3 linked regions of the Cricetulus griseus genome follow. The protein of the gene in region 1 interacts with the protein of each later gene in a pairwise test. Links are inferred from orthologs where the notes say so. Each region holds a gene or a part of one and is shown in the gene's direction. Other genes may lie near its edges.

Evidence for each region. The genes of interacting proteins can lie anywhere in the genome.
Region 2: the proteins of Max (region 1) and Mga interact in binary tests that used the Homo sapiens proteins (3 or more experiments, as listed by UniProt). The link is inferred for Cricetulus griseus from reciprocal best matches to the Homo sapiens genes MAX and MGA.
Region 3: the proteins of Max (region 1) and Unc45a interact in binary tests that used the Homo sapiens proteins (3 or more experiments, as listed by UniProt). The two-hybrid records come from large-scale screens. The link is inferred for Cricetulus griseus from reciprocal best matches to the Homo sapiens genes MAX and UNC45A.

The regions. Positions count from the first base shown.
Region 1 is NC_048598.1:126,561,405-126,565,590, forward strand, and holds the start of Max (protein max), read left to right. Parts: upstream 1-1,386; 5' UTR 1,387-1,616; coding exon 1,617-1,652; intron 1,653-2,329; coding exon 2,330-2,356; intron 2,357-4,186. UniProt on the Homo sapiens protein: Transcription regulator. Forms a sequence-specific DNA-binding protein complex with MYC or MAD which recognizes the core sequence 5'-CAC[GA]TG-3'. The MYC:MAX complex is a transcriptional activator, whereas the MAD:MAX complex is a repressor.
Region 2 is NC_048599.1:58,545,504-58,549,003, reverse strand, and holds part of Mga (MAX gene-associated protein), read left to right. Parts: coding exon 1-503; intron 504-3,258; coding exon 3,259-3,500. UniProt on the Homo sapiens protein: Functions as a dual-specificity transcription factor, regulating the expression of both MAX-network and T-box family target genes. Functions as a repressor or an activator.
Region 3 is NC_048596.1:117,270,347-117,273,846, forward strand, and holds part of Unc45a (protein unc-45 homolog A), read left to right. Parts: intron 1-5; coding exon 6-98; intron 99-501; coding exon 502-669; intron 670-1,995; coding exon 1,996-2,164; intron 2,165-2,542; coding exon 2,543-2,713; intron 2,714-3,500.

The DNA.
Region 1 (4,186 bases):
AAGTTTCTGCCTTCAATAGTCAGGGATAAAACCTATTTTCACTTGGGCTGGAGTGATGGCTCAGAGGTTAAGAGCACTGACTGTTTTTCCAGGGGTCCTGAGTTCATTTCCCAGCAACCACAACCATCTGTTGGCTCACAACCATCTGTTATGAGGTCCAGTGCCCTATTCTGATGTGCAGATATACATGGAAGCAGAATGTTGTATACGTAATAAATAAATAGATAGATAGATAGATAAAATGTAAAACAAAACAAAACAAAACAAAACTGTTTTCACTCAGGAATCAGTAACTCATAGCCCAAACCCAAGACTTCATTCATTTTGGAAACCAGTTGTAAATTAACCAGTTTGGTTAATTTCTCTGGTGATAGAAGGTGCCTTTATTATTTTTCTTTCATCAAGGAAGGACCTGGTGCACACTGAAAATGGTGGCAGGGTAGTCCGGTTTTCGCTTCCACAAGCTGTGAGATCTTTGAGGGGCCCTGTTCAGTCGTACCCATCACGGCATGCCTGTTCTGCCACATTAGATAATAAATACTGGTGGGATGTAGTCATGCTTCATACCTCGGTGTATAAATATGACTTTGGTTGGACAGGGAGCCGCACAACTTTCCCGTTTTTATTCTTTCTGCAGTTCTTAATTAAGGTTCTCCCGCACTGGGGCACTCCTTCATCTGCATGGGCTACGACAAACAGTTGGGTTTTATTTACTTCCACCTAAGCGAGATTTTGTAAACATTCAAGCCGAGTAAGGACGGTCCTCTCGGACAAATGAAAGCAAAATTCTTGGGACTAAGTGTACCCCGGCGAGGCAGGTCCTTTAGCTTGTCCTGTATCGCCTCTTAACTCCCCCAAACTAGATCCCGAGGGTCCGCGTGGGCATCCCGACCGCGCCCCCTGGCCAGCAGCAGCTTGATTCCTTCCCGTGAGGGTTACGCCCCAGGGCGCAAGTGGAGCGACTCAAGCGTTAAACAAGACAATGTAAAAGCAGTCTAGCCAAGAAGAGACAGTGTTATTTTGGCAGCTAGCTTCTCCCCCTGAGCCTCCACCCAATCCCTTGGGCCAGGCGCCCAGAGCTCAGACTGTGGCCGGCTCCAGAAGCCCAGCTCCCTCCACGTGTCCTGTCTTCCCAGCAGCCTCTCCGCCGCTTGGGGAGGAAAATCTCCTGACAACTCGCGGTCTGTGGACTACATCTCCCGGGAGGCACCGCGCCACTTCTCGCACCCACCACCGGCGCGCACGCGCCCTGCGCTCTGTCAACAAGCGGGGCTGGTGAAGATTGTGTGCGCTTCCTGATGGGATTTGTAGTTTCTCCGGCGCTCTCCGACCTGCCCATCAGACGCTCGAGGACTACAAGTCTCGGCTCTCCCGGCGCGGAGAGTCCGGTCACGTGTCAGGGGGCCGACCGGGCGTGCGTGCCGCCGTTGATCGGGTGCTGCAGTGAGGTGGTTGTCGCCCGTGTTGTGTGTGTGTGAGTGTGTGTGAGTGAGTGAGTGAGTGAGTGAGTGTGTGCGTGGGGGCACTCGGCTTGTTGTTGTCGGTGACTTCCCCCTTCCCTCCACCCCTCCCCTCCCCGGCCGCCGCTGCAGTGGCCGCTCCCTGGGCCGTAGGAAATGAGCGATAACGATGACATCGAGGTGGAGAGCGACGTGAGTCCCGGGGCTTCTTCCTTTCCGTTCGGGTTGTCAGGCGGGGACAGCGGCCGGGGCCCTCAGCGGGGCGACGGCGGGAGGGGGCCGGGTCGCCGCCGCCTCCGTCCCCTTCCCCCGGGGCCGGGACCGCCTGCGTCGCGCTCCGCGCTCGCTCCCCTCCAGTCCTGTCCGGAGAGGCCTCCTGGGACTGAAGGTGGGAGCAGACACGCGGCCTCTGGGACCCCCACCTCCTCCCGTGGAGGAGGGTGCCGAGGCCTCCCTCTCCACTCTATCCGGCTGGGGATCCCATTATCCGTCCGGATCCTGGGCAAGGAGACCAGCGCTCAGGACCTGCTTCTTGGGTCCACGATCTCCTTTTACCCGTGGACCCGTTGATCCTGGGGGTGAGGGGACTGGGAGTGAGTGCTCTGACTCCCGAGGGGGGTCCGGGGAGAGCAGTGTGCTCCGGACCCCTCTTGTCCGGTTCGGATGCCAGAAAGAGGGGCGGCGCCTGGGACCCCCACCAGGCTGCGGGATCCCGCTGGAGAGAGTGGAGGGGAAAGAGGGAGGGAGGGGTGTCGGGCTGACTCCCCACCCGCTGCTTCCTCCGCCGCCGGCATTTTCTTTCTTATTATTGAATTCGAAGTGTAAAAATAACTTCTATATTTTCTATTTTTTTTTCTCTCTTATTCCAGGAAGAGCAACCGAGGTTTCAATCTGCGGTACGTCTCCTACTCTCCATTTCATTTTCATTTCCGTTCAGTTTTGGTCCTTTTTGGAGTCAGAGAGAAAAAGTGATCGTTCTTTATTTTTTAATATTCTTGTAAACTCTCCTCTTAACCGCTAAGGTGAGGTGGAGTCAGCTGGGGTTGGAGGTGGGGGGGTGGGGGGCTGCAAATCCTATGATTCTGGCTTCTCAGGTGGTAGATCCTAGTGAGTAGGTAGGTGAGTGAGAGAGCGAGCCCCATGCTAAAACTGAGTTGTTCTGGAGTGTTCAGTTAAGGATGCAGCCCAGGCACGTGAGAAGTGAAGGGTAGTGTTATTTCAGAGCAGACTTACAGGTCAGGTTTACTTAGGAGCAAGTAAGCTTTAAGCACTATCTGCACAGTTGTGTGAAGCTGCAAGCACAGTAATAATCGCCTTTAGCCAAAGTCACATGACTGCCACCACAGACTCTTAAAACTAGAAAAGCATGCTATTCTCAACAATAGCAACAACAACAAAATAGAAACAGGGAGGAGCCAGAAGTTAAATCTTGAAAGTGTCACAGCTTCTTGTGGTCTGACTTTCCATTTGAGAAGAAAAAAAAAAAAAAAGGTTGAAAAGTGGCATTGTAGGAGACAGCTACGCTAAAAGGTGTCCGGATGAGTCCATACAGTGTTACCAGTAACTTCTTAGGGTTTTGATGTTAAAGCTTTTTGTAGGTGTCTCTCTGGTGGATTTGGGTTGACACCATGAGCTCTTGTCTTTAGAGTCTGAGACTTAGTAGTAAATGGGTATAGATTAGGGAGAGGGAAGAAGACTGAGAATACATCCAGATCAGAAGAGAGACGACAAGTGTTATATTTGATAGTTGGCAATGGTGAAAAGGGTGTACAGGGAGGGCCATAATGCCTTTGCCTGTGGGGATTAGGTAATGAGGTAGTCAAGGATAGAGGGAGAGGTAAGGACTGGGATACTGAGGAATGCATGCCCCTTGTAGAAAGTCCGAAGCCACCTAGCTCTGGTGCTTGCTGTATGAGAGTGAGCTCAGTGTTGCTAGGTCTTATTGTTATTTCAGGGCTGGGGTTAGACCCTTTACCACTGAGCCACACTCCCTCGATTTTCCTACTTTAAGAGAAATGTTAAAATGCTAGAAACAGATTATTATTTTTCCAGTGTATTTGCGTGTAGTTTTTGGCTATTCTGGGACTTGAACCCAGGGCCCTCGGCATGCCCGGGGCCTGGCTATAACCTCAGCCTACTCAATTGATTTTTTAAGGTTACATTCACTTATTTAATGTGTGTTTGTGATTGTGTGCATGCCATGGCTCACATGTAACGGTCAGAGGACAACTTGAGGGAGTGGGGTTTCTCCTTCCAGCATGTGGGTCTGGGGTTGAACTTAGGATCATCAGGTTTGGCCTCAACAACTTTACCCACGAAGCTATTTGATTTTTAAATGATATGTGGAACAGCTGTTTGGGGGCTTATAGAGAATTAGCTGGATGCAACTAGGCTTGGTTGCCCAGTCCCGTGAACGCCCTTACTCGGGATGCCGAGGTAGGAAGATCAGAAGTTCAGGCCTGTTTTCAGCAATTTATTGAGGCCCAGCCTTAACATACCAAAAAAAAAAAAAAAAAAGAGTCCACGGTTGTATCCAGTTCTGTAGGCCCAGTGCTTAGGAGGCTTTGGCAGAGGGTTGCCCTGGTTTAGAGGCTGGCCTGAGCTACAGAATGAGATTCTGTCTCAAACAAACAAGAGCTCTCTACCTTTGTCTCTCTCTCTCGCTTGGGAATTTAGCTCCTTAGGACACTTAACTTTCAGTAGGCCCTGGTTCATCCCTAGCACTG
Region 2 (3,500 bases), on another chromosome or scaffold:
CAGGCCTTCTCCAGTAATGGTCGTCACGCCTGTGGTTTCTTCTGAGCCAGTTCAGGTGTGCAGCACTGTGACTGCTGCTGTCACTTCTTCCCCTCAAGTGTTTTTAGAAAATGCTACTGCTGTGACATCTATGTCTGCTATTTCTGATGTGGGAGCTAAAGAAGCTACTTATTCTTCTGGTGCCTCTGATGCTGGAGTTGTTGAGATCGCTGAAACTAATAACACTACCCCTATAACATCTACCCAGTCTACAGCTACTGTGAACCTTATCAAAACTACTGGGACAAGTACTAGCCCTGTGGCTTCAGTTGCATTTCCTAAATCATTGGTAGCATCTCCAACCATATCTCTTCCTGTTGCTTCCACTGCCTCCACCTCCATAGTTGTGGTTACCACAGCTGCATCTTCCTCTGTGGTGACCACACCAACTTCATCACTGAGTTCTGTACCTATTATACTCTCAGGAATTAATGGAAGCCCACCAGTGAGCCAGAGACCACCAGGTAAGGACTAGTTGTTTTCATCTGCTTGCTTGCTTATTCATTCATTCATTCATTCATTCATGTCTCTATCTATCTATCTATCTATCTATCTATCTATCTATCTAATCTAATCTGTTGGTTTTTCTAGACAGTGTTTTTCTGTGTAGCCCTGGTTATCCTGGAATTTGCTCTACTGTCTATGATGGCCTTGAGCTCAGAGATCAACCTGCCTCTGCCTCCAGAGTGCTGGGATTAAAGGCATGTGCTACCACCACCACCTGGCTTCATATGCTTTATTGTAAAGCTATTTAATAGAATTTGCCAGTTGTAATAAAATTAGGAGTTTCCAGTTTTGACATTGTCATCTATAAATGTGTTGGGCTGTATTCCTTCCTTCCTTCCTTCCTTCCTTTCTTTCTTTCTTTCTTTTTGGTTTTCAAGACAGGGTTTCTCTGTGTAGCTTTGGAGCCTATCCTGGCACTCGCTCTGGAGACCAGGCTGGCCTCGAACTCACAGCGATCCGACTGCCTCTGCCTCCCGAGTGCTGGGATTAAAGGCGTGCACCACCAACACCTGGCCCTATCTTAAAATGCATGCAGGCACTAGTTTAGATATGCCTGAATACATTTTAGAGTAACTCTGTATATATTTTGGCCAAGTATGATATGTTACCTTTTTTTTTTTTTAAGATTTATTTATTATGTATACAATGTTCTGCCTACATGTAGGCCTGCAGGTCAGAGAGTGCGCCAGATCTCATTACAGAGAATTGTGAGCCACCATGTGATTGCTGGGAATTGAACTCAGAACCTCTGGAAGAGCAGGCAGCGCTCTTATCCTCTGAGCCATCTCTCCAGCCCCATATGTTACCATTCTTAAAACCTTAGAATTCTACAAATCTGAACGCTAAAATTAACAGAGTTTATGGCTAGTTGTAGGATCAGGAATGATCAGATTATCAGTACAATTTTTTTGTTTGTTTGTTTTGTTTTTGTTTTTTGGTTTTGTTTTTGTTTTTGTTTTTTGAGACAGGGTTTCTCTCTTAACTTTGGAACCTGTCCTGGAACTCACTCTGTAGACCAGGCTAGCCTCCAACTCAGAGATCTGCCTGCCTCTGCCTCCCAAGTGCTAGGATTAAAGGCGTGCGCCACCACCACCTGGCTATCTGTATAGTTTTGTAGTCAGATTCTTGATTATAAGAATCAGATGTTTTCTAGAGATAATCTGATTGATAGGTTAGTAGGAGTAGAATTTACCCCCAGGAAATACTAAAAATTCAAAAACATTAGAGTGGAAATGATTGCTGAAGGACATTAAATGATGTAAATAGGACCAAAGTTCTGAGCCATTAGAACAGCCATTAAAATGACATGGAGGAAGTGCAACATACTATATGATAAGAGCTTAGGGTTGCTCATCTTTAAGGAGGGAATTTCATGTACAGCTGCTGGAGTGGGCATTACTCTTCCCCTCCCTCCCTCGGAAAATGTTACTGCATTTCTAAGAACATGTACAGCAGTGACATTTTCTAAAATGGTACACTTATTTATTTTGATAATTTTTTTATAGATTTTTATATGTATAGTGTTTTGCCTGCATGTATGTCTATGGACCACATACATGCAGTGAGTGCTTCCAGAGGCTTGCCTGCCTGCCTGCCTGCTTTCCTTCCTTCCTGTACCCCCACCCCCCACCCCCAGACAGGGTTTCTCTGTGGCTTTGGAGGCTGTCCTGGAACTAGCTCTTGTAGACCAGGCTGGTCTCGAATTCACAGAGATCCACCTACCTCTGCCTCCTGAGTGCTGGCTGGTATTAAAGCTGTGCATCAGCACCATCCGGCCTAAGGTTCCTTTTTAAAAAATATGTATGGGTGTTTTGCCTGCGTGTGTCTGTGCACCAGATGTGTGCAGTGCCCATGGAGGCCAGAAGAGGATGTTGCATTCCCCTGGGACTGGAGATACAGATAGTTGTAAGTTGCCATCTAGGTAAGCCTGGCTTCTCTAGAGAGCAGCCAATGCTCTTAACATGAGAGATCTATGTGCCTTTATGCATGTATCATTGAAGGCTAGAAGAGGCTTTTGATTCCTTGAAGTTTGAGTTACAGGCAGTTTTTGAGCTTCCCAACATGGTTGCCAGGAATTGAACTGTCTTCTGCAGGAGCTGCAATCTCTGAGCCATCTCTCTAGCCCTCAGATGCATGTTTTTTGTTCAAATTGAGTAATATTATTTTCACAGATAATAAAATAGCAAACTTGAGATATTTAGTAGCAATATCAGGTAAGTGTACTAATTTGAACTACTAGTAGATCAGTTTTGTTTGTACTTACCATTATATTATACCCATTTCTTTACCCCATAATTCTAAAATACTATCATTTTCGCCTTGTATTTCTGAATAGCTCTTCTAAACATTAAATCTCATTTGGTACTATTAATGATTTGAAATGTCTTGTTTTTGTTTTTTGGGACAGGGTTTCTCTGTGTAGCACCAGCTGTCCTGGAACTCGCTCCATAGAACAGACTGGCCTTGAACTCAGATCCACCTGCCTCTGTTTCCCAAGTGCTGGGATTAAAGGCGTGAACCACTAAAAAGATAAAAATAAAATGAATTATATTCTTAGCTATGAATAGTATACTATAGCAGGACAGAATTTCATTAACATCATAATTCAAGTGAGACATTACTTGCAGTATTATTAGATCTAGTGTCACATTTTTGCCCATGTATTCTGAAAGATAAATTCTTATAGTAGCTTCTCATTTTTCTGTTTTTCAGAAAATAGCACTCAAAATCCAGTGACTACTCCACAGATGTCTCCTAACAGCGTGAAACGTACTGGACCTCGATTGTTGCTGATTCCAGTGCAGCAGGGTTCTCCTACACTTAGACCAATCCCAAACCCACAGCTTCAGGGACAGCGGATGGTCTTACAACCTGTTAGGAGCCCAAGTGGAATGAACCTATTCAGGCACCCCAGTGGACAGATTGTCCAACTCTTACCTTTACATCAGATCCGA
Region 3 (3,500 bases), on another chromosome or scaffold:
CATAGGTGCGGTACATGTCCTCAACAGATGCCAAAGTAGAACAGATGTTTCAGATACTGTTGGACCCCAAAGAGAAAGGCACAGAGAAGAAGCAGAAGGTACAGGTCCTGGAGTGAGCCTCTAGGGCTTCCATACATACCCCTTTGCTCACCAGTATGGACCTCAGAAGTCCTGCTGGCCTTGAGTCCTTGGTGTGAAGCAAGGAAAGGGAATTAGTGTTCACAGAGCACCTTGGTGGTCACCCTAGAGCCAGGAGCTGGCATACAGTGTGACTGAGGTGCTGCCCTTGCTCTTGAAGCCCTGCTAGGGACCCCACTCTAACCATCACCCACAAGACCAAGCTCTCCTTTCTACTTGAAGAGAAGGAAGCCGAAGTTCCAAAGGGTGAAATTTATGGCTGGCTAAGAAGAAGCAGTGAGGCCCAGAGCTCAGGGCCTCGCTGCCTGCCCTGCTTTTGGATGTCTGTAGTGTCAACATTAGTATGTACTTCCTCTGGCGTAGGCTTCTCAGAACCTTGTGGTACTGGCCCGAGAGGATGCAGGAGCCGAGAAGATCTTCCGGAGCAATGGGGTTCAGCTCCTGCAACGCCTGTTGGACACAGGAGAGACTGACCTGATGCTGGCAGCCCTGCGCACACTGGTCGGCATTTGCTCTGAGCACCAGTCTCGGGTAGGTAGTGTGGAGAGGTCTAGTTATTGCCTTAGTCTGTTTCTCTGTCCATTTGTCTATTAATTTTATCTACCCATCTACTCTTTCACTCCCCCATCTTTTTCCCAAAAGAGCTGAAAGCACAGATAGGAGCTACTCAACTATGGGCAACAATTAAAAGGACAGAAAGGATACACACAAATTAGGATGGAGTAGGACCGAAAAGGACAAACGTAGCCTCCTATACCTTGATCATTACTGTCCTGAAGCCAGTTCACAGAGACCTGGTCACTGCCCACTCAGGGCTGCTCAGAAAGAGGTTTTGTCCATTCCAAAGGTTGGATTCCTTTCCTCTGGAGAGGAGAGACCCGTGATGTCACCAACAGCATATCTGCCTTAGAGATAGTGACCTGGTTAGCAGCATGGACAGTGCCACAAGAATGGCCCTACTCCTGGGCCTGAAAAGTCCATGCCCCTGCTCTTGCTTGTGCTCGCTGGACCCAGCAAATAGGGACTTGGTCTCTGGTTGATCAGTTATGTGTACATTGGGAGTCAGGGTCTTCTTATGTAGTCTGGGCTGCCTTGAACTCACGGTCCCTCTGGGATTTCAGCACGTGCTGCATTGCTGGACTCCTTGATTGCTTTTAGAGGAATCTCCAGTTCCAAGAAGGGTAGATTGTGAAGTAGTCAGTGAAATCTCTTGAGGCCAAGCCTGGGCTATATTTAGAATAGTAAAACCATGTGTATCCTGTGCCCCAGGTCTGTGTGAGCTGGGATAAGCCCATCAGGCCTCCTAGGTTCTCTAGCTTAGAAGAAAGATGGAGAGGCCTTGCAGGTCTGCCCCATGTGTATTCACACCCTGAGGTGTGCACAGACCCTACTGCTGGGTTTGGGAAGGTGCTTGCATCTAACAGGATGCTTTGTCCAGGTGTGTTTTCTCCTGGAGGAGACATGAGACCAAATAGCTGCTCCTGGGGTTTGTCTTCGCTCCAACTATAGAGAGCAGAGGTGGATGAGGACTCTGCAATATCTCCTCCTCCTCCTCATTGTCAGGCATAGCCAAGACATAGTCTTGGCTGTCCCGGAGCTGGCTGCTATTCTGTCTCTGTCTAGGACTGCAGGTGTATGCCACCACTACCAAATGGGGTGCCTTCTTTAGACCCTTTCTAACAGGAAGCACAGCATGACACAGGTCATACTATTAGACTTACTTCCCTTTTCACTTGGAGCTGCCCCATCCACCCAGGTGTTTGCTCACTTTCTGGCCACACTCACTAACTCACTGTTAGGAATCACCATGGCTGCCCTTTACCAACCAAGCCTCTGTCCAATTCTTTCCCAACCTAGACAGTGGCAACCCTGAGTGTCCTGGGAACTCGGAGAGTAGTCTCCATCCTGGGTGTGGAGAACCAGGCCGTATCACTGGCAGCCTGCCACCTGCTGCAGGTTATGTTTGATGCCCTCAAGGAAGGCGTCAAGAAAGGCTTCAGAGGCAAAGAAGGTGCCATTATTGTGGGTGAGTGGAAGCAGGTCTGGTCCCTTGGATGGTACTGTTGTGGAGGGATGGATGGAATGGGGCTTAGTGGTGATATTTTACCCTAGATTCTTTTGTTTTGCTGAGACAAAGTCTCACTGTGGAATCGAGCTCTCATGCCTTAGATTCTAATAGCCAAGTGCTTGAGGAAAAAGCTAGGCTCAGCTCAGAACCCAGGAGGGAAGCCTCCTTTGCCTGTGCCGCTCTGGCTGTTGAGGAGTTCAACTGTCACACAGGGCTGTGTCACTGTAGAGTTCACTAATATAACATTTCCCTTGTGCTGCTTTGTCTGATGTGCGGAGGACTGAACCCATAATGTCATAGCCTTACACATCGATCAGTAGTGTGTATTGTTGCCAGATCCTGCCCGGGAGCTGAAGGTCCTCATTAGTAACCTCTTGGAGCTACTGACTGAGGCAGGAGTCTCTGGCCAGGGCCGTGACAATGCCCTGACCCTCCTAATTAAAATGGTACCCCGGAAATCTCCAAAGGACCCCAACAACAGCCTCACACTCTGGGTCATTGATCAAGGTAGGTGATAAAGTGTAGAGAAACTTGCTTGGGTGGCTGAGGCCTGCCTTTCTGTGGGAGTGATGAGAAAAGTTGCCATTGTATATGGCGTTACGCTTGTCCTGAACTGCTTGCCCTCCTATGGCCCTTATAATCTCTGTAGGGAGCACAAAGACCCTCCAGCTGGGTGTGTGTGTGATGGGTGTCTGTACAAATGCATGCACATTGGACAGTCCTGAAGAAGGCCAATTGAAAGGCAGTGTCCTCTTTCTCTAGTTGAAGTTTTTTTTTTTTTTAAATCACATTATTTATTTTAATTTTTTTTTTTTTTTTTTTTTTTTTTTGGTTTTTTCGAGACAGGGTTTCTCTGTGTAGCTTTGAAGCCTATCCTGGCACACACTCTGGAGACCAGGCTGGCCTGGAACTCACAGAGATCTGCCTGCCTCTGCCTCCAGAGTGCTGGGATTAAAGGCATGCGCCACCAATGCCCGGCTATTTTAAACTTTTAAGACATTTTTATTTATTAAATCTCCCCCTCCTCCCCATGTGTGTGTGTTCAAACACCATAACACTGGTGGAAGTCAGGATAACATGCAGAGGTTGGTTTTTGCCTTCTGCCCTGTGGGTCCTTGGGATCTAACTCGGGTCATCAGAGTTGGTGGCAAGCACCTTTACCTGCTGAGCCATCTCATTGGCCTGTTTGAAGTTTTTCTTAGTGATGATGTATTACTACTACTACTCTTGGAGAAAAAGACAATCAAATCATAATGTGGCAATTTACACTTCTCATTTTCCAAAAAGATAAATA